Rhinolophus ferrumequinum: one gene and its partners. The protein of the gene in region 2 interacts with the protein of the main gene of each other region in a biochemical or structural test. Links are inferred from orthologs where the notes say so. Each region holds a gene or a part of one and is shown on either strand. Other genes may lie near its edges.

Evidence for each region.
Region 1: the proteins of NUP214 (region 2) and ATP-dependent RNA helicase DDX19B are reported together in a solved structure, tested with the Homo sapiens proteins (2 studies listed by IntAct, with this or other methods). The link is inferred for Rhinolophus ferrumequinum from reciprocal best matches to the Homo sapiens genes NUP214 and DDX19B.
Region 3: the proteins of NUP214 (region 2) and NXF1 form a complex in vitro, tested with the Homo sapiens proteins (4 studies listed by BioGRID and IntAct). The link is inferred for Rhinolophus ferrumequinum from reciprocal best matches to the Homo sapiens genes NUP214 and NXF1.

Annotation. Positions count from the first base shown.
Region 1 is NC_046298.1:22,020,806-22,028,683, reverse strand, and holds the start of ATP-dependent RNA helicase DDX19B, read left to right. Parts: upstream 1-4,790; 5' UTR 4,791-4,935; coding exon 4,936-4,992; intron 4,993-7,878. UniProt on the Homo sapiens protein: ATP-dependent RNA helicase involved in mRNA export from the nucleus.
Region 2 is NC_046295.1:79,177,590-79,185,069, forward strand, and holds the start of NUP214 (nuclear pore complex protein Nup214), read left to right. Parts: upstream 1-4,471; 5' UTR 4,472-4,585; coding exon 4,586-4,630; intron 4,631-6,860; coding exon 6,861-7,056; intron 7,057-7,480. Other genes in the region: AIF1L (allograft inflammatory factor 1-like), read left to right, coding at 535-622. UniProt on the Homo sapiens protein: Part of the nuclear pore complex. Has a critical role in nucleocytoplasmic transport.
Region 3 is NC_046294.1:8,033,961-8,041,543, forward strand, and holds the start of NXF1 (nuclear RNA export factor 1), read left to right. Parts: upstream 1-4,505; 5' UTR 4,506-4,872; coding exon 4,873-4,900; intron 4,901-6,401; coding exon 6,402-6,585; intron 6,586-6,801; coding exon 6,802-6,955; intron 6,956-7,520; coding exon 7,521-7,583. Other genes in the region: STX5 (syntaxin-5), read left to right, coding at 2,591-2,750.

The DNA of each region.
Region 1 (7,878 bases), on a different chromosome or scaffold from region 2:
CAGGAAAAATAAGGCAGGCAGTTAGAGACGGGTAATTGGGTCTCTGCATTCCTGCACATCAAACATAATCTATGGGGAGGACAGGCTGGAGACCTCCTGAATTTTTTTCTTATCTGCTCTAGCCATTAGCCACTGTGAGGACATAACTAAATTGGACCAGTCGCTCACACCTGCATGGTAGAAGGCCACCACCTCCATCTCACCCTACCCTCATTATACCATCATTGTAATACCACACATATGCCCAGTAGTTCATTAATATCATTATAACAGACTGAACTCTAGGAAGGGACATGCACAGTCTAAGAAGATGAGGTAATGGCTCCTTATCAATCACAGGTGTCAATCAAGTGGCCCCACACCTGGAGAGGAACAACCCATCCTGGAGGAAAAAAAGACAAAACCTCTAGTCTCCTGTGAGCCACCACCCTTGAGCCCTTTGAGCCTTTTGAGCAGCTTCTTTTGCTCGGGACCTGCTCCAAACCCTTTGGAGTGTACTTTTGCTTCTAACAATGGGCTTTGAGCCGCTTTTCTTTGTGCTCAGCCCACTCCTAATTCTTTGGAGTGTACTATCTCTTCTAATAAACTTATTTCACCACTTTACGTCTGTGTCTCGTTCAATTCTTTGCTTCAGATGCCAAGAACCTGGACACCATGCCGAGGAGGACCCATCCTCTGGTAACGTAGCAGCTAGGATTCCCAGTTTTCCTCCCCGAGGCCCGGGTTTGACCCTCGGTGTGAGAGACAAGCCCGGACACTGCCAGGTTCGACCCCCAGTGTGGAAACCAAGCCCAAGCATCTCACCGAGAAGGGCCCCCTCTCCGGTAACAACTCCAAACCTCATACTCTTACCCATTCCACTATTACCTACATCATCTTACATGTCCAAAACACATGGGTATAAAATTGAGCTACTGGTCATAACAGGGTTAAAAATATTGCAGAAAAATATTGACTTTCCTTATGTAAAATATAATAGCATCCTACTTAAATAGAAAATCAAGCTTAAAAGCCAATGAGAAATAAATCACCTGAATTAACTTCCCAATTCACAGCAACGCATTAATAATTATCATTACACCTAACATTTGTTGAGCACTTCATATGCAGCAGGCACTGATCTTAGCTTTTGATCCTCATAACAACCTTATAATGAGTTACTGTTATTATTGTTTTTAACACTGAGGAAACTGAGGCAGTAAGGTTAAGACAGCTAAAGGCAAAAACCAAGAGAGACAAGTGTTTGTTCTGATCCAAATGGGCCCAAAAATGTTAGGCATATTTAGCCTAAACAATCTGAGAAATGGGTCAGATTTATGTGCCACCACAATTAAAATGGAAAGCCAAAATTGTACAAATTGTGATTTCAAAGTAAAAGAAAAGAATATAGATTGTAGTCTCAATAATTTTGCTGTGTTGCCAGAGTTGTTGCTGTTAGGATAGCACCTTCACTAATGAAAGAATTTGAGACAAATTAAAAATAACTGTTTTTTTCATTCACCCAGTGGCATACGAGGAAAAACTGTAATTGAGGCCCCAAAGTCACATTCTTCCAAACATGAATTTTCTACAGGAATTTTTCAGATAATTATCCAGTTCTCCATGATATTTTTCTCTCATAGATAATGTCAACTATGTAATAGAAAGCTATCTTTTTTTTTCTGGTTTATACTTAATTTTTTTAAATTAAAGTTTATTGGGGTGACAATTGTTAGTAAAGTTACATAGATTTCAGGTGTACAATTCTGTATTACATCATCTATAAATCACATTTTGTGTGCACCACCTAGAGTCAGTTCTCCTTGTATCACCATATATTTGATAATCGAAAGCTATCTTAACGCATCATGCAAATTGCATACTTTAGGAAACTTATTATTCTGGACTAAGCAATAGGCCTGTTGGTAAGAGTGATTGCTATACATATGGCTTGCTTGGCAATAGAACATTGGTAGAACCTCACCTTGGGGCATGAGCAAGATAACAGGGGTTCAAGATGGTACAATTAAAATACTTAGTTTTGGAAAGATGTAGTCCTAGTTCTAACTCTCCCGTGGCACCTAAGCTACTTTTAGCATCTATAAAATGGACTTAGAATGTTCATTTATTTGCTATCAGATCAAGTGGGGTTGGCCGAATAATTGTTTTCAGATCATAAGGTGCTATAGGAATTAGCTGGGATCTTAAAATAGAGATCCTGATTTAGTAGGTCTGAAGTGGGGCCTGAGATTCTACATTTGTAATAGGCTCCCAAGATATGTTATCTATGCTGCTGGGGGATCACACTTGGAGTAGCAAGGGCCGAAACTGGAGCATGAAGTTTTTCATCTGTTTGTTCAAAGACAAAGATTAAAAGGTTTGATGGGGGAGGGGGTGCGGAGGGGTTCGTTCCCCATCTATTTATTCATCAAATGAGTGTCTGTTATGCGTTAGTCCCTGAAGATAAGCATTAAAGAAAGCAGACACTACCCTGCCCTCATGGAGTTCCCAGCCTAACCAGTGAGAGCTACATTTAGTGAAAAATGACAGAACTCACCCAAAGGCACCCCCCTGCTGGAGCCTAGAATTGTCCATTTGCCCCAAGGTACCTGGGTGCGTTGATTGGCTGGCGGGACTGGCTTCCAGGCTTCAGCCAATGAGGCTCGGGCGGCTGTTAGTGGAGGTAACTGCCATGCAGTAGGGCGATGGCTGGGGTTGCTGGCCACGTCCGCGATCGTGCCCCGGAGCGCTTTCCGTTTGCCCTACCGGTGGGAGACGTGAGTATTCTTAGAGGGTAGACATGAGACCTTTTTTTCTACATTTAGTTATCGTCCTTGCCCCCACCCCATTAACTGTTAATAATAACAGCTAATATGTATTGAGTCTTCTCTATAGACTGCGCACTGTACCAACGGCCTTAACCTTGTGATCTCATTGAATCCTCGAACTGTGAGACAGGTACTTAGCGTGATTTCAGAGGAGGTGGAGGTGGCCTAAAGTCATGTGGGAATACATGCTGGAGGCCTACTTGATATCCAAGATGCTCTTATTCCTGAGTCCTCTTTCCGCACTCCACTTTGGAGACCAGATTCCTCCTTAACAGGAGTTTCACATTGTGCAGGTGTGGGGTGGCATAGGAGGGTCTAGAATCCTGATGCTTATTTTTAAGCTTTTTTTTTAAATAGAAAAAGCAACACATGCTAAAGGCATTTATGGAAAGGAGAGCTGCTGTCTCTTGGGATAGCTATGCAGGCAACTTCATTTGAGTCTTATTTTATTTCTTAAACCCTGAGGGGAGAACCTAGATGTTTGTTATATTATCACCTTTCTTATTTGTCTGAAATACTCACATGCACATGGAAAATAAATTTCAGAGTATAAAGTGTACACAACAAAAAGGAAGTCTCTCCCACCCCAGATTTTCTGAAGCCCCTCACTAGAAGCAGCAGCCACTGTTATCAGTTTTGTGTGTATCTTAAACATTTTGTATAGTAGGTACATATACGTGACTTTGTTTTGTTTTGTTTTTGCACAAGTGGATTCTATTATATACATTCTAGCACCTTGGCTTATTTATTTTTTAACCTCATTAAACTTGAAAAACATCCATTAATTTCCTTTAGCCCTGTGATCAGTATAATTTCTCTGGAAAAATATTCCCAGGGTTGCTTCTGACATGATGAGATGTAGGTCACGGCTTCCCCAGCTGGCATTTTCCTTTTTCTTTTTGCAAAATCCTTACCTATATAGGTTCCAAATAAATCTTCCCTAAATTAACCCCTAGAGGGTGCAGGAGAATAAGAATCATGGCAAGTAAAGGATTGAGGGGAGCTGCTTTATCCTTTCCCAAACATTTTGACTAATAATCTCCAGGTAAAATTCCACATAGAGCTCACTACTGCTTGAAATGAATTTATCACAGTGGAATATTGGCAAAGTGAGATATGTGGGGATTAATTTTTCAAGTTGCATGAAAATGCACAGCTTCTTTCTAGTGAAATAACAAAAGGAGAGAAGCTTGTATGATTAATGTTAGAGAAAAGCATCTGTCATACTTAATCCCATTTTCACCTCTTCTAAAAAGCATAAGGTATTTTTGCCTTTTTAAAAACCTTCCCAGTCACACAACCCTTACACGGGAGAGCTGGGATTCTGATCTAGGCACAGTTAACTTCAAAAGTCATGCCGATTGGGAGGCGTTCCCTGGAGTGAACTCTTCCGCTCATTAAGCCTCATTCACCTACCAACTTCTTCATCCCTGGCTCTTGTCATTTCCCTATAGAAATTCAGTTGTCTGTTCAGCTCCACAAACATCCCTGCTCTTTCTTGTCTCTGATCCTCTACCTGGAACACATTTCCCTAGTACCTTCCTGGAGTATTTCTCAAGGTGAAATTCCTTTAAGTCGTGTGGCCACGTACTCTGTGGGACAAATTTTTAACCAGTGTCTGAGAGGGCTGACTTCCAACACCCTGGCCCACACCAGGACATTTGAAATCACCAACCTGAAAAGTGAGAAAAAAAGATCTCGTTTCAGTGTGCGTTGTGGTGACACCCGTAATGGTTTTGTGTTTCTGTGTATGCAATCTATGTGAGCTGCTTCTGTGCCACTGTGCTGGGCTCCGGGAATGGGGCTGTACAGCCCGTTCACTAGAGCTTAGGCCCTTTAAGATAACTACCTCAGCCTGCGGTTCTGGATGTTGGATAAAAAAGCGTGAGTTAGGCAGGGGTGAGGGTGGGGGTCAGAAGGCGACAGAAGCGACAGCCCCAAAAGGGTCAGGGCCCGCGCGGCCTCCGACGTCACTGCGGCGCGCCGTTTCCGGTCCCCAGCGCCGAAGCGTAGGACTTCCCCCTCGGTGGCGCCGAAGCCGGGCTTGCTGCGACCCCCGGGAGCCCACGATCGCGCCGTGCCAGCCAGCGAGTCGGCCAGCACCAGCGTCCCACCTGCGCCTGGGACCATGGCCACCGACTCGTGGGCCCTGGCGGTGGACGAGCAGGAAGCGGCGGCCGAGTCGGTGAGTTGGCTTCAGCTGTAAAAGGGTCAGAGCGCCAGTTTTGGCTGGGGATCAGATCTCTGGGAAAGGACGCTGCCTGGGCTGGTCAGGGCCGGGATGGGGTGCGGGAGGGGATGGAGCCTGGACCCTGAGCTGGCTTTGTTTACCCATCCGCTTCCCAAATTACGTAAGCGCGGTTAAGTGCTCCCACGGATAAAGAGCCCAGCCTGCCTGTCTTCCTGTAATCCCGATTGGTCGTAGGTTGATTGCACTCAACAACCTGGATTGTAATCCATTTTGTAGGTGTCAGTTTCCACCTCCCGATTCTGAGCTTCTTGGGTTTAGGGACCATGGGTTATACAGATCTGTGTGCTTCCTCAGCTTACTAAGTGATGATGAATGAACCACTCAGTAGGTCTGGCAGGCAGTAAATCCTCTCTTGATCTGCTTAACTTTGTTCTGGGCCTGACATCCAGTAAGCAAGATAAGGAGTTAAACGTTACTATCTAGAGTTAATTTCTCCCACGTAGGCATTCTCAGTTCTGATAGTGCTTTGAACTTCTGTTAGTACTTATTTCTGTGAATTCCTGGAGAACAAGGACTTTGTCTTATTTTCTATAACTGATAAAAAATAAGTGTTAGGCACGGCTGGAGGAATGAGTTTCTGGAGACCAAAATTGGTCTATCAGAATTTATTTGGCATGTTTGAGCTGCGGGAGGTCAGGCTAGAAAAGACCATAAACTCCCTGAGTGAAAAGGGGTATGGAGTTTTATAGGAGGGGGTAAACGAGGCTATTCCCCCTTCAATGCTTCAGGGGGGTTTCAGGGTACGACCAAGCCCTCAGGTTCCACATTCTAGCCCCCAAGCCTGCTGATCCTAAGCCCCTAGGAGACAAACACAAGCCAGCAGGTACAAAAGACAAAGCAAGACAGAAATGGCTTTTAGGATAAGCAGGTTTCTGCTCTTGGCCTAAACATGGCCTAACAATAAGTAATATGCACATAGTTCAGAGAGTCAAAACTTTTAAAAACTGGTTCCCACCAACACCACCAATTTTTTCCTTCCCAGAGACAACTGCTGTTTCTCTTGAAACTGATTTACAATATTGACCTCCTTGTTCCCTAAATAACATGCTTGTTTTGCTACTTCTTGAATTTGCAGCTCTAGGTATTTTTTGATTTTTGACTCCTTCCTCCATCCCACCACACAAGCACACCTTCCCATTCCTTATCTTTTCATTATATTTTAGTTACATCAGTATTTCAGGTTTATATTAGTAATTTATGAATATTTTCACTTTCCTGTAAAACTTTGTTTTTCCTTGGAATTTGTAATTGTCATGTGTGTTTGCTTTGTGTTCTCTGTACTTATCACCAAATTCAACCCCAAGCTCTTTGCTAATGAAACAGGGCCCGATTGGCACCGCCATAGTAAGGGCCTCTCCCGTCCTTGGCCTCACCTTTCCTTGTCCGACCTAAAGCTTACTAACAATAATAGATCAACCCCCTGTGGCTGGAGCTCAGAATGTCCCCTGTCCCACCCAGTTCCCTGTTTTAAATTACCCTGACCCTTAGGCTTATTGATCACAATCTCAATTGTCCAGCATTCTTTCCAGTCTAGTCCCATCATTGTTCTTGGGTTCCTGACTCTACCAGAGAATATCACTGTAGCCTCTGGAAGAACACCCAGATTTTCCTTTAAATACCCACACTGGACTGAGAATGTTAAGGTAGTTTTTGGAGGTGTTAACCCGCTTCCTTCTCAGACCACAGGTGCTCTGATAATAAACGCTTATTCTATGACCCAATTCCTCTGTCGGTCAGTTGGCTGAGCAGCGCAGGCAGCACGAGCCCCGGACTTGTTTGGCTTCCAGTTTTACTACTGTGTTTCCTAGAAAATAAGCCCTAGCATTATTTTTCAGGATGACATCCCCTGAACATAAGCCCTAATGCGTCTGTTGGAGCAAAAATTAGTATAAGACCTGGTCTTATTATCGGGGAAACACGGTAGTTGTCTATCTCAGGATGTGCAGACACAGCAAGTATTTTATCAATTTCACTTTTCCCAGGTCTTTTAGCCTGCTTCACATTGAACTAGTTCCCCCTATGTTCAAAGCACAATGATTTTGGGGGATGGAGGGGAACAGGGCAGATTTCCCTTTGCCTTCATTCTGGGGATTCTCTCCTCTTCTGTTGTATTGTATTCCCTCCTTTCTCTATCCCCTCTCTTCATCTTTCTTGATTTGGTGGAGCCATTCATCAGCTTTCTGGAGGTGTGTTGGAAGTAAACTTTTTTGTTGCATTTCCTAAAACATCTTATTTTGCCCTATCATTTGGTTAATAGTATGGCTGGGTGTAGAATTGTAGGTTGGAAGCTATTTTCCTGCCAAATTTTAAAGGCATTTTTCCATTGCCTTTTAGATTTCTGTATTTGATGTTGAGATGTCTGAGACCATTCTGATTCCTGTTGTGACCTGTTTTTCCCTTTCTAAGCTTGGAGAATTTTCTGTTTATTTCCAGTATTCAGAAAATTCATGATGATGTGTCTTGGTAAGGGTCTATTTTTATCCATTTTAATGGGCACTGAGTGGGTCCGTTTCAATCAGGCAAATTCTTGGCCTCTGTTATGGGAAATAGTCTTGAAAATTTCATTGTTGATTTTTTCCCCCATTGTTTTTTCTACATTCCCTGTTTCAAGAATTCTTATTAGTTGAATGTTGGATCTCATGGGCTGGCTCTCTAATTTTTTTAAGTCAAACTTATTGAGGTATAATATATAGCAAAATTTACCCCTGTTCTGTGAATTTTGACAAAGGTATCCAGTGGTGTAACCACCACCACAATGAGATTTTCTCAACTGCTTTATAACCTATTTCATGTTTCATTTCTATCATGTCTTTAATTTCA
Region 2 (7,480 bases):
TCCGGATGGAAACACAGCATCCGTGGGGTTAAGTGTCTTCCTGGAGTCACGAGCTGGGACGGTAGCTGGGCTGGGACTCCAATCCAGGCTGTTTCCCTCCAGAGGCTGCACCATAAACCCCTGTGCCCTACACCCCCCGACTTGACCCTCGGAGCAGTGGGAGGTTTTGAAGCTCCAAAGGGGTTGTGAGCAGAGCCGTGGCCCAGCCTAGCTCTGCCTCCTCCAGGCAGCGTGGTTAGGGGAAGGTGCATGGCCTGGAAGTCAGAGATCTAGGCTCTCATCCTGCTTGGACTGCTTGTGGCTCTGAGGAGTCATGTCGCCACTTTGCGCCATTTTCTCCTCTGTCAAATGGGACTAGGAGTCCCTTCCATGCAGCTGCCATCCTAGGCTTCCGAGAAGATCCTGCTGGAGAATGGATGAAGGGCATTCTGCTGAGGACTTTGCGGACGTGAGGGCTGGGTGAGCTTTCCCTGGGTGAGGGGAGGAATCCTAATCTTGTTTCGTTTTGTGTTTTTTTTTCCATCTCTAAACCAGAGTCATGATGTTTGAAGGAAAGGCCACCGAGAGCAGTCCCAAGCCAGTCGGTCCCCCTCCAGAGAGAGACATTGCCAGCCTGCCCTGAGGACCCCGCGGGGACCTGTCCCTGCCCTCCCTGCCCCACCCCTCCCTCCTGATCTTGCTGCACTTCTGGACTCATTGCAATGTCTTTTTTTTTTTCCTGGTTGTTGGGCATGATTGTTTTTTCATCTGCAGAATCTGATCTCTTTGTAAAGCACAAATGATCTGCCTTAAAGGGGCTCTGGGGCCCCTCCCTCTCTTCTTCCCTCCTTCCCCACTCCCTGTGCAGAAGGGCTGACATCAAACCAAAAACCGGAAGTGGCGGGGCCAGGGCAGGGAAGCTGGAAGCCTGTGATCCCCACACTTGGAGCCGGCATTGTCCATCCTTGCTGGAGGTCACTGAGCTAAGTCCAGGCTCGCTGGCCTGGCTCTGGTGAGGACCTCAGCCCACTTTCAGAAGACCCTGGAGTAGGGACGAGGCTGCAGGGCCTCACTAGGGTTTCCTCAGATGCTCTGAAGTTCCGGTGCTCTCAGGTTGTCCAGGACGTGGCCACTCACTGCCCCAGCTGATCCCCGCTCGGGCCACACTTCTTCTCGCCCTTAATGAGGTGCAGAAGGAGACAAGGAGAGGGGCTTGGTAATTGGAGACCCTCAAGAAGGTTCTGGAAGGAATCTTCTGGCCTTACCCCTTGTCCACACCTTCATAGACAGCTCAGAGGGAGCCCTGTCCCTTGCTGGGGCAGCAGAGGGCTTCAGAGGTAGAGGGGAGGCCAGGGGCCTTGGGGAGCGGGGTTCAGCTCAGTCTAGTCCCACCTTTTAGGAGGATGCTGAGGGCAACAGGCTAGGGGAATGAGGAATAAAATGTTCACGGCAAAAAGTCAGCACCACTGTTAAGCCAAGAACTGAGACACAGGAGGTTGCCTTTCTGATCCCAGTCTGCTTGAAAACCGACTGCTTCCCCCACGACCTGCCCAACTTACTCAGACCATTCATTTACTCAGTCATTCAACAGATATTTATTGACCATCTATTATAAGCTTTAAGGCCGGCCCCCTCCACTTTGTCCTGACATGTGCTGTGTCCACTGTCTCTAACTCATTTCCCCATTTCCAAATCGCCCAAAACCCTTGAGCATGGGGATTCCATTGGGGTCACCTGTGTCCCTTATTATGGACTCACAGGGTCTTAGAGGTCTGATCCCCCTGTAGGTTAGCTGGGCCAGTCCTCACATTTCACAGGTAAGGAAACTGTGGTGGCCCCCAGGGATTAAGTGCCTGGCCCAAGGTTAGGAGTTAATCGAGATGGAAGAGTCTGGACTGAAGCCCAGGTGTTCAGATGGCCTGCCCGTGCATCACCTCTGCTCGGGGCTGCTTCCGTCAGTGAGGAAAACAAGGGAAGGGGCAGGGCGAGGCTATTTCCTAGGACAGCACTTGGGGCGGGGCCTGGGCCAGGACTCACCTTTTCCAGTGCCTCTGAGTTAGCAGCAGGATCAGGGGACAGGCCAGGCCTGCCTCTGCGGTTCCGCCTTCCCCAGGGCTTCTGAGCTAAGCCACTTCTCAGAACTCACGCAGGAAGCTGTCACACTCGGCCCCATCTTGGCTGAGCAGGGACCCCAGCCTTGACCGCACCTGTGTTCTGGAGCCCCTTACCCTGCCTGCTCAGGACTTAGAAGCAATCATCAGTTGGACATATTTGTTAAGCACCTGCTATGGGCCGAGAGCTAAGAACCCAGTCATGAAATAGACAGTTACGTGAAATTTAAGAGCCTAGTGAGGAAGTCAGACTCGGACAAGGACGAGTTAGATGAAAGGAAAGGGGGGCCATGGGGTGACTGCACTGCAATCCTGGGGAGACCAAGATGGGCTCAAGACTGAGCAAGAGCCTTGCAAAAGCATTTGCCAAACCTTAAGTGGAAATGTCTGGGTACTGTTAGAGCCACGGTGGGCTCTCTGTGGCTCCTCAGTGACCCACAATCAAAGACCCAAGGAGCTGCCTTACAGCAGCTTAAGGGAGTGGAGCAGGTCGGGGATGGGGTAAGGGCCAGGCTGGGATAATTTGCTGGTCTCAACCAGTTCAGGAGCAAGACTACCTGGCCGTGGCTGGTTGGTCCTTAGGCTAAGGAGCTGCTCAAATGCACAGGCCTAGTTGAAGTTTAAACCCCAGCAAAACAGTTTTCCCTGTAAATGTAAAATCTCACCCCACCCCCTTCCCTGCCTTGGTTTTTTTCCACCCGAGATCATTATTTGAGCAACTGCCTGTCCCCACCCCTTCCCACTACGTCTCCTCTCTAGGACACGACGAGACCTTTGAGCAAGGTCAAGTCTTGACTCCCCGTCACATCGTCAGTGTACTTGGTCCTCACTCAGAGAGGAGGGCACAACCAACCAGGCTTATTTTCCACAGGTTCCCCAGTTTACAAGGCCATGGGAAGCCTTAAGGGGGAGCGAGTGGGTGTGTCCCCAGCTTCTGGAAAGAGCAGGACAGAGCGTTCATTGGATAGGAGTATCCTGGGACACCACACAAGTTCCTTTGCCATTTCTTGGAACTCAGCTGGTGGAGGGAGAGGGGCTTGAGTGGTTTCTGGAAAGGGGGGGGCGCTGCATATATTTCAGGTTGTGGCTGTTGGCCCTGGGACTCTTACTTCTCTGGCTAAGGGCTCATTTTCTTAGAATTTCAGCTATCTCTCTGAAAGACCAAATCTAACTAATGTAACCAGAAACTTGGGGATTGCCAAGTGTGGCTTTGTCCCTGCAACTCAAAAGGAAGGAGTGTGTGGGGCAAGTTCAAGTGGATGCAGTATGTGTGCGCGTGCGTATGAGAGTGTGTGGTGCCAGATACCATCTCTGCACACTGGGAATAAAACAGACAAACTGTCAATGTCTTGATTGGTGTATTTGGGGGAGGGGTTCTGGGACTCAGCAAATTCAGGAAAGCTACCTGATAAAGTACCATTGAACGAATGCGTCCTGTGTAGCAGGCTCTGTTAAGCTCTAACTTCATTTACTTCTCACGACCACCCCACGAGACAGGTTGTTTGTCATCCTCGTTTTACAAATGAGAAGCAGCCTTGAAGCAGATGCGCAATTTGCTGAAAACCAAACAGTCCGTGGCAGACTATGGCCCCTACTTCAAGTTAAGCACCTCTGTCCTAGAGCATTTAAGATATAAATCCACTGCAGCAATGCGTACATAACAGTCATCAGTGAGCACCCAGACAAGCTGAATTCTAATCCAGCCTCCACCGCTTTGCGACCACGGGGCGCGGGGTGGTTTTCTTACGTTCCCTGCTGCTTCGTCCCCTCGTCAGTTAAACGGCAGTAATAACTCCTGGGGGACCAGGACGTCTTCAAGAGTAAAGAACACATCCAAAGTGTGTTGCGCTTTCCAGGCTCTTGCTTCGGAAATGATTACCTTGACAGGAATAAACAAAGACGACCTCTGGTGCCTTTTAACCTCCCCTTTTTCAGCGTTCGTGCTTAGACGCAGAAGTCTCCCGTGGCGAGGCCCCAACCCACGCACTTTCTGAACCCCTTTTCCTCCACAACCCCCTCCAAAGCCTCTCTCAAGAGCTTCCCCTGGAAATATTTATCAAGTCCCAACTTCTCTGAATCAAGAACTATTAATCGCCACCTCCATCCCAAGGTTACTGTGGGGTCTCCACGGAACACTGAGCGTGGAGCGCTCAAGCATGCGCAGTCCGATGGAAAAAAACCCAACACCAAGCAAACTCGTTCTGGTTGCGGACGCGGGGGGCGGGGCCTGGACGCTCCAGGGCGCAGGCGCGCGGGCCGAGCCGGCCAATGGGAGGCGGCGGCCTCGGGAGCGCGCGACTTCATATACTCCCTCAGCCTCCTCGACCCGCAACGCCCACCGAAATGCGTGACGCCATTTACGCGCGCCGGAAGTTCGGGCCTCGCTGCGCGCCGCTAGCGCTGAAGGAAGGAAGTTGGCGTTGGAGCGGCCTGGGCTGTGTGGGCAAGGCCGCGGGCAGCTGCGGCTGCTGCTACGACCAGCTGAGTCCGGCGCGATGGGAGACGAGATGGATGCCATGATCCCCGAGCGGGAGATGAAGGTCAGATACTGGCCGGGGCCTTCGCGTTGCCTTGGAGCCCCGCTGAACGGCGAAGCGCGGGTGCCGGCTGCCCCGCCTCCCGCTTGAACTTTCCCGGCGTTCAGAGTTCTCACCTACGCGTCCTGGAGCACTCTGCGGTGCCGCCGGCGTGTTCGCCCCGCCGAGTGCAGTGTCCCCTTCCCTGGGTGGTCTTGTGCGCTCCACCTCAGTTTCTCTAGCTACTTTAATATGGTGGTCGGAGTAGCGGTAATAATTGCTGTTTATTGAGCGTTTACTGTGAGCCAGGCACTGGGGTAATCACACAGCAACCCTACGAAATAGTTAATATAAAGATGCAAGTCAAGGTTCGGAAGGTAACTTACCCAAAATCGCATTTGACGAGGAGGCTGTAATGCAGGTGTGTTTTGTAAGACCCTCTCTTCACTCTCATTGTCTTACTTCTGTAAGGTTCTCCGGGCTTGTCTGATGCAGAGCCGGGGTTCATCACCTATCCTACAAAATCTAGTTCGTTAGAATAGGAGGACTGTTCTGGTACTGGAAGTCTGCTTGAAGTCGGGAAACTAAGGAGAGGGGCACGTGATCCCAATGATGTGATGGTTACAAGCACCTGAAAGGGAGTAAGTTGCGGAAGATGTTAGGCATTCGAACAGCAAATCACTGAAATACGTTTAGAGAGTAGTGACTCTCTCTTCCTTCTTGAGAATCACTGCCTGAGTGAACCACCCAATGAGAAGGTGCCGTATTCCTCAGACACGCTGGGGCTGAAGGAAAAAAGGTTTTAGAACCACAGACTTAGAAGATGGTAGTGTCCCTTTAAGTTGCTGATTACAACAGAAAGGAGAGCACTCTGGTGCCTTTTCATCTCACTGGCCCTCCACCCCATGTGACCAAGACCCAAATAGGATATTTGGGATTATCAGGATGAGAGTCACAAAAACAGACCGAAAAATTTTATTTTACTTCTGTTTGAAACCATAGATAGTATGGTTTCACCTGGAAAACTATGTGTGTGTTTTTGATCATCGTGCTCAGTTGGAATTAAGAGTATTTCAGTTAATCTTTTAGCAAATGTGCATTAAACATCGAATCCATTGGAAATTTGTATGGGGTGTGTTAGGGATCCTGTATGAAACACCGTAAGTGTACAAAAGTGAAAGCTGATAATGGCTCTCTTTCGCTTTTACAGTTTTGGAATGTAAGCAAAAGGGGATTTGCAGTCTTTTCACCCAAACCTCAACTTAAGGATAGGTATATAATTGAAGAAAAAAAATTCAACCACATATAGCACACCTTAACATAGTGATTTGGTAAACTTACGGAACTCTTTTTTTACCAAGAGGTTCTGCGCGCTGAAAATTGTCTTTGGAAGCATGTAGATAAATTCATGGAAGACTACGCGAGTCGGGCATTGACAGGAGGTTGGGGAATGTTCCCAGGCCCTGAGTTACTAAGGAGCCTGAAAATGGAAGGAAATGAAAACTGGATAGACATGGGGCCGGGAGGTGGCAGTGGATGTGGCAGAGGTGATGTCGCACGCACTTGCAGAAGGGAAGCAGTGTTGTAAGGTGAGGCTCCAGAGGCGGATGGGTCAAGTCGGCCTTACAGCCTGTGTTAAGGATTTTGCACCTGTGTGTAAATGTCCTCATGGCATCCAGGTGTGTTTTCAGGTCTTGAACACCAAGAGATTGACCATGCATATCCTTTTTGTGTTTAACATTTGATGCAGGTAGGTCATTTCTTGGGATTCGGTTATCTTTCTGTGGTCATTGTTTACACACACACACACACACATTTGTTGAGTACTGCAGTAGAAGTTTGAGCCTACAGTGTAGTTGGATGATGCTTTGAATATTTAACAGCTTTTAAAGCACTACTCGGTCATGAGACAATACATACCATGAACTAAGACAAGGTAGTAAATAACAAAGTGCAGCTTGGATGGTGGTTAAGACAATAAACTAGGAATTCAGAAAAGGACAAGGTCACCGTGAGTTGAATTAGTCAAGGATAGAATCTTTAGAAATTTATTCCATTGAATAAATATTAATAAGCGCTATGCCACGTACCACAATACGCATGGGCAGCTTATAAATGGCTTGGTCATACAGTCCTTGGTCTCGGGAATAGGTGTTTTGGTTGTACTGGAATTGGATCTACTGTAATATGATGACAGACATGATTTAACTTCCTGTTTTCCCTGAACTGATCTTGTTTTGATCCCTCACAACAGGATTTTCAGTTTAGAGCACTGAAAAAAGTGAGAATCTTTGACTCCCCTGAGGAGTTGCCCAAGGAGCGCTGCAGTCTGCTTGCCCTGTCCAACAAGTATGGCCTGGTCTTCGCTGGAGGAGCCAGTGGGTTGCAAGTTTTTACTACTAAAAATCTTCTTATTCAAAATAAACCTGGAGACGATCCCAATAAGATAGGTAAGTTACTTGCTTTATGTTGCATAGTAGAGAGAGGAGTATAATGAAGTGCTAACGTAGTTTCCTTCCCGAGAAATCATTCTAATATTAAAGTTAAAACTGCTGCCAGTCCTGAGGTTGACCCCCAAGAAGAGTAAGTTCTAGGTCGGAGGCTGGAAGCCTGTCTGGTTGTTCTCTTTAGTCCTTTGTATTTCTCTTTCAATGAGTTGTTCCTCTGACCTCAGAGGGAAGGAGAATGGACCATTCTGCCATGTATTTATTTTTGCTCAGTTGAACTTGGGTTCCCTGGCTCTCTAAGGGAAGGGTTTTGGGGCACGGCCTTTTCGTTGGCTCAACACTACCATCTAAACAAATAGGAACGTGTATTATTGGGAGCATTGTTGCCAAAATATGGGTGCATGTTGGCAATATTGTGATTTACAAG
Region 3 (7,583 bases), on a different chromosome or scaffold from region 2:
ACTGTCCAACACTATTCAGTACGCTGTCCATGTTCAAATTCTCCCAGCTGTTCTAAAAAATGCTTTTAGCTTTTTTCTTTCAGTTGAAGACCTGGGTAACATTCACACATTGCATTTGATTGTTATGTCTCTTTAATCTGCCTTTGTTTTGTTTTTCGTGACACAGGCTCCTTTTTTTTGGAAGAGGCCAGTGCCTCTTGTAGAAAGTCCTGCATTGTATTTGTCCAGGGTTTCGTTGTGATTCGATTTAGGTTAATATTTTTGGCTGGCTACATAGGTGATTGTTTCAGTTAGCACTTGATGAGGTTATCTCTTTTTTGGTTATGACAAGTTTGGTCACTTGTTTAAGGTGATGACCATTAGGCTGTCATCTGTGGAGTGATACTTTGAGTCCTGTGGGAATGTCCAGGGCCTCAGCCCCACGGTGATCCTTGCCTGACTCATTTGTGAGATTGAGTGATGGTAAAACGGTAATTTTCTGATCCTCCCAGTCCTTCTACATTTATTAGCTGGCATTGTTCCGGAAAGAACGAGCTTCCTTTAAAATTACTGTGGAATGATAGTAAAAGTCAATGTATTACAATCCATTACCATCATCATTCTTGATTACTACATCTGGAGCTACTTTAAGGCATTTTCTGTATCCTCTTGAACATAACCCAAGCATCTTGAAGTTTGGGGGAAACTGAAACTCAAAAATTAAAATCTCAGATCTCTTAATCACAGTCACATAATCTTTCCAGTTCTTGGGCTCACTGTCTTTGGTTCAAACTCCGTTTTTTTGTTGTTATTGTTCCCAACTTATACTCACCTTCTAGTCTTCTGGTTTTCCAGGCCTCTCACATCAGTGTCATCAATTATCCTTTCTGTTCAGCAAGACTCCAGCTTCTTGATGCTTGATTCTTTCCCTCTGGTTTTTCTTTCTCTCCATAAGACATTCTTTTGTCCTGTTCCCCATGTAAACTTTTCCTTTTAAGTTTTCTTCAGCCCTCTCTTTCCCAAGCCATTATTTTCAGCCCTATTCATTTCCATTTTCTAACTCCCTGCTACTTCTCAGTGTCCCACTGATTACTAATTTTTTTTTCACCACCAGTGTTCCCTTCTATTAGTTTCATTCGTGGACTCCCATTTAAAATCTTTTGTGTGTCAGATTGCATTTATTGTTTTTCCATTTTTGTTCAGCGGAGCCAATGTGAGCTTTATTGAGTATGACATGACAAATGCACCCACACTGAGAAATGTAATTATAGCCCCAAACTAGGAAACCTGGTACTTTAGTTAGCCTCTCTGACATACGAGGGAATCATGTATAATCTGGGCTTCCGTATTTGGACAGAGATTAGCTGGCAGTTTTCATGACCACCTTCCCAGGACCTGGGCCTTTCCTCTCATATTCCACCTAGATTGCAAGGCTCCATCAACTTTTCTATCCTCAACAGGTTGGAAAGGTCTCTAACTCCCAGGGACTCACTTTGCAAGGACCAGGGTTTGTATTTGGTTTTTAGGATTGCATATGCAGGTCGGCTGGGAAATGTTTCCTTTTCCTCAACAATCTCTCAAGAGATTACCCTTTCTCTGAGGACTTCTCTATACCCTGGAGAGACAGTTTCTCATAATATAGGGCTTTTCTTATCCCCTGACTGCCTGTTCGTGTCATTTTTTTCCTTCTTGTCTCACTCTGAACCAGGATTTCCTGACTATGATGGCCTGTGAACTTTTCTCCCTGTTACAAATGCAATACATATTTAAGAAAAGTCAATAAATACTGATGAACAAAACATTATAATAGCTAACATTTTGGGGGCTTTTAGTATGGGTTGGGCACTATATAGTTGTTAACTTAGGTAAGACTGACAACAACGAGAAAGGTAGGGTTTGTGTTATCCTCACTTTTCCTTCTTTTTCAGTTGAGGAAAATGAGATTTGAGGTTAAATGACTGGCTTAGGGTCATCAGCTAATAAGTTGTGGAGCTGATTTTCAAATCAGATCCAAGACTTGTTTGTATTACCCTTCCAGAGCTTTTTGTATACACAGATACACTGGGGGTGCCAAAAAAATGTACACATTTTAAGAGATGTTATCTACGTATTACTTTTGAAAGTTGATTTACGGTATCAATGTGCAATATGATGTTTGTTCAAAAGATGGCATTAGGGGAGGCCAGATAGCTCAGTTGGTTAGAGCATGGTGCTTTTAATAAAGTTGCCAGTTTGATTCCCACATGGGCCACTGTGAGCTGCACCCTCCACAACCAGATTGAAACAACTACTTGACTTGGAGCTGATGGGTCCTAGAAAAACAAACTTAAATACATAAAAATTAAAAACAAAAAAAAGGCGTTAATCAAATGAATGCTAGCATCATTTGTTGTATTACCATTTTAATATAATACAGTTTTTTCCTTTCTTAAAAAGTGTATACATTTTTTTGGCACCCTCTGTATATGCACAAAAATGGAATCATATTGTGTATAAACACTTTCTACTTCCACCTATTGTGACCATCTTTTCCTGTCAGTAAATATGCTTCAATAGCTTTCTTTTTAATCTAGTGACCTTCTGTTCCCTCTCTCCCCGGCCCTATCCCCAGGATCGATGAGAACGTGCTGGGAGCCCAGCTGGATGTTGAGGCCGCCCATTCGGAGATCCTCAAGTACTTCCAGTCGGTTACGTCCAACCGGTGGCTCATGATCAAGATCTTCCTCATCCTCATTGTCTTTTTCATCATCTTTGTGGTCTTCCTTGCCTGAACCCTCTCTGCTCTGAGGCACTCCGCGGGGGTTTGGAGCTCACCTGGGAGGGCAGGTGGCCACTGCTGCCCCTGAGCCTGTGCAAGGTGCTTGGAAGAAAGGCCCTGTTTTCCTGGAACTGCTAAGAATGGCCACTGCCCCTGATTCCCCACCCCTTGCCTCTGGCTACCCTGTCCTCCCCTCACCACCCTCAGGCCCACGAAACACACATGGTTCTGGATTTGGACTCTGCTGTGAAGTGGCTGGAAGGGAGCAGAGGCCAACTGGGCGGCCAGTGGGGGAAGTTGTCTCCACTAGGAGATTTTTATAAACCCTCCCCAGCCTCTCGCAGAGGAAACTTTGGCAGCAAGGGGAGATGATGCCCTTCCCCACATCCTGAGAGTGAGGAGAGGAAGTGAAACTGCCCCAGGGACCAACTTTCCCATCTGGGTTAGAATTTGACCTCTTTCTTCTTCCTCTCTTCACCATGTGAGGTGGGGGCCCTGAGCCCCTTGGCTGCCTGCACAACCCCAACTTTGGCTGCTGGTGACTCTCAATCTGCCAAATGAGCTGCAGCCAGTTTCTCCCAATTACAGCAAGACCGTCAGCCTCACTAGCCATGTTGTCATTTCTGGGTGGGAGCGTCGAAGGGCCAGGCAGCAACTGGAGTGAGCCCCCTGCCCTGTACCAGAACTTTTCAGGTTGGGCTGATGGCTGTGAGAGGCAAGGCTTTGGGCTCTGCACACGGCAGCCTCCGGGCAGGGGAGAACCAAGTGCAGCAGCACTTCATTAGCATGGCAGCTTCCCTTCAAAGGGGGACGCAGGATCCCAGAGTGGGTTCCCGACTGGTGGCAACTTCCAGGACCATCTCCAGCAGTATTTGGACCTGTTTCACCTGCATCCTCCAACCAGTTGGCCCCAATTTTCCCCTGAGCTGGATGAGGCAGGAGCTCTGTCTGCTGCCAGGAATGAAAAGTGAAGAATTTGTTCTCAGCTCCAGCTGAGGTTCTTGATCCCCTCCAAGCCCCTCACCAAGTCCAAGCCAGTCACAGGAGAATGAAGGTGAGACGTACCTGGAATACCCGCCCTCCAGGGAGGTCATTCGGAGATCACTGGATTCCTCCCACCTCACACACCCCAGAGGAAGCTCAAACTATAGACGACAATCACCATACACTCTGCTGGCCCTAGTACTTTGGGGGGTCTAGGAGAGCCCATGTCTTTCCTAGCCCTGGCATTTTAAATTTCTCCCCCCTCCTCAGCCTCTGTTCAGCTGGTGGCCCTGCTAGAATCTTTACTACCCAGTAGACACACCATGTGGGCCTAGGACAACACATCAGTTGTGGGTGGGGCTGTTTGTGAAGACAGTTGCTCCGTCAAAGCCTGACAAATGGCAGCCTTTCTCATTTGATTCCGCAACTCTTCGGGGGATGCATAGATCAGAAATTCATTTATTTCACAAATACTTGTTGAGTTCCTGCTATGTGCCAGGCATAGTACTGAGTCAGGTGCTGAAGGAAAAAAACCGTGAATTATTCAAAGTCTCTGCTGCTTGGAGCTTACGTTTAGTTTTCTATATCCTGATAATCCATTTTACAGGCGTTGAAAACGAAGCGTTGACCCGCAGCCCACAGAGGGCTGAACTGAGACAAATACGGGTTATATCCCGCTAGGGGTCTGGGAGCCTTCACTCCCGCTCGGAGGCCCAGGTCTCCCATTCCTGGGAAACCCTTCATGTGGCCCCTCTTCCCCGCTCCTCTCGGAGTCCTGGGCGTCAGGAGCCTGCCCTCTGCTCCAGCGCTAATCCTGGAGGTGCTGGCGTAGCCGCGGACGGAAGAAAGCGGGCGGCAGGGCGAACCAGCCCCAGCCTTTGGCTAGGCGAGCTCAGGTCTAGGGCGAGTCGGGCAGCGGCGGAGCCCCGCTGCGCGGCGCGGCCGTTCGCCCAGTGCGCACGCGCGGCCGTCTGCGCTCCTCCCCGGAGGCACCGCCCACTACCTGGGGACGTCGACGGCGCGCGGCGCTCTGGGCCAGATAAATGCGGCGCTGCCGGCCGTAGGGGCGCTTCGACCTGGATCACCTGGGCGTTCTGACGATTGGTGGCGTTGTGGCCCGCGCCTGAGCCCGCCCTGCTTTTCGCTGTGCCATGGCGGACGGGGGGAAGTCATACAACGGTCAGTGTTGTCCCCGGGGGTGGGAGCGGGGCGATCTGGGCCCCGGGTGGGCGGCGCTGGCCTAGGCCGCAGCCCTGGGGCTGGAGGCCGCGAGGGGCCCGCGTCCGCGGAGAACGGTGGAGGCGCGGGTCTGGGGCGAGGCAGCCCCGGGGGTCCCACCGGACTCGAAGGTGGGAGCCCGAGTTGTTGACTCCGGAATCCTGGCGTTGCGAGGAGCTGCGGCTCGGTGCGGGTGGTTCGGCGGTGGGGTGACGAGATTCCTTTGAACTTTGTGGGTGGTGGATCCCTGTCATTTCAGTTTGGCGGCCAGACTCTTTAATGTGAGTCAGTGCCCTTCTCCTGAGCTACCTGTGCCCTATTTTCTATCGCGTCCAGTCGGTTTTGTCCCCCTTCCCTGCGGTTTTGGCTTAATATTTTAGATCTACACACCATCTCGATGTTCTAGACCAAACACTATACTGGGTCCAGAGTAGTGGTTTGGAGCACATGACAGCCGAGATTTCAGTCTTGAGTTGGCTACATCAAGCTTGAGTGAGTTAAACGCTCAGGCCTCATTTTCTACTCCCTTAATGCAGGTAGAAACAGTACCTACCTCCTAAGTGTGTGTGTGTGTGTGTGTGTGTGTGAGAAAATGAGATCATTCATATCAAGTGCCTGGAGTATGGTAGTGCCTGGCACTGGAGAAAGTTCTCAGTGAATGTTAGCTGTGCTTTCTATTCATTTCTTCTTTTTTTCTAGGGTCATTTCTTGAAGTTCATTGTTTGCAGGGTGCTGCGCATTAGGCAGACCTTGTTTGAAGTCATCGATCTTTTTTTAAGAAACCATTCCTACACACCAGGATTCAGAGGGTCATATTCCTAGAGAGCAGTCGAGAACTCTTGGTTAAGCACCCTAGCTGCCATTAGAACCTGCATCTAGAATTTGTCTTCTGAGTTAAAAGACATTTCTGGCCAAGGAAACAAAGAACTCACTCCCAAAACTTCAGAGTTTGAGAACAAGACTTTAAAGAAGTCCTTAAATTGGTCACATTTGTAACATACACTGTATAGGCAAAACAAGCATCGTTTATTGAAAGCTGATGTAATAGTTGTGGTTGCTTGGTTTAAGGGGATGGGAGAGGTCACCATTCAAATACTGAGTAGGGTTAAGTAGGTTTGAGAGTCCGAGTGAAAGCAGATTTCATTCAGGTGACTTTTGAGGGGTCTGAGTTGTGCCCAGTTTCACTTTTGGGTCACTCACATTTCCACATTGTGTTTCTCCTCTCTGTACTTCCAGTTTCTGCTTCATTTTTCAAAAGCCCTGCATGGTTTCCCAGTGGTTTTTCCCTTTTTGGTGCCATCCCACACAGAGGGTTCTTTCTCTGGAAAGGCGGGGGAGTTTGCTTGGAGGTAGCCTCTGCAGTTAGTTTGTATCTCATCCAATAGTGCAGCGATACTGTAATTGGTGCCACAGCACAGCAGCTGGGCCAGTTTTCTAGTTTGTGTTCTGTTCCCAACTCCAGAGCATGATGATCGAGTTAATTTCCCTCAAAGAAGAAAGAAAGGTCGGGGTCCTTTCCGGTGGAAGTGTGGTGAGGGGAACCGTAGGTCTGCAAGAGGAGGTGCTAGCATTCGATCTTCCCACCTTGAAGAAGATGACAGAGATGTGGCGATGAGTGATGCCCAGGATGTTCCCCGAGTAAGATAGTGAGTAACCAGTGGATCTGGTTTGAATTTGTCGACTCTTTTACTTATATACTGTTACTGTTTGTGTCGTTTCTCTTCCTACCTACAAGAGTGAGGACTGCCAGGACCAGCTTAATGGTTGAACAGTCTTAGTTGTAGTTCTCATAACAGTGCAGCAAAGACTTTGAGAAGCCATTCCTAGTGTTTATGGACATTTTATTCTCTATTTCCACACAGCAACCCCTATGCTGCACGAACTAACCGTCGGGGCGATAATTGGCAGGATCGAGACCGCATTCATGTTACTGTGCGAAGAGACAGAGCTCCTCCACCGAGAGGAGGGGCTGGCACCAGCCAGGACGGGACCTCAAAAAAGTGGTTTAAGATTACAGTGAGTATCTTGGAAATAGATGGTGTAGGAGAGATGAGAGGCAGGGCTCAGAGTGAAGGTGTTTACCCTTCACACCACAAAATTAGTCTTCTGAGCTGTTTACTCCACAGTCAGGTATCCGTCCTTTGGCATAAGGATCAATGTCTTAGAACCTAAGGGCAGGTGCAGAAAAGGAATAGAAAGAATAGGCAGCACGGGGAGGAAGGCAAGGCCATCTAAAGGGAAACGTGATGACTGATTGGGAGGTGACATAACTCCTTTGGATGTCTCCATGTGGCTCAGACTGAGTCGTGGGGGTTGGGGCCCCTTGACTTCTGAGGGGCAGGCAAGGTAGAAATAATATCTTAGGACTTTTAGAATCAAACAATTTGATTCTTTTGATGAATAATAAGTATAAATAGACAAAAAGGAGGTTAAGGAATCCATGTCTGACTCCAGTAGTAAAGCTTTAACTGGTGTTTTCTTTAGAAAATCTTTTAAACCTTGGCAGACTATATGAAGCACTAGGTTGTATCTCCTTTTCAGCCTTAGTTTCATATTATTCCCGGCCCTTTCTCTCATGTAGATTCCTTATGGCAGAAAATATGACAAGTCATGGCTCCTGAATATGATTCAGAGCAAGTGCAGT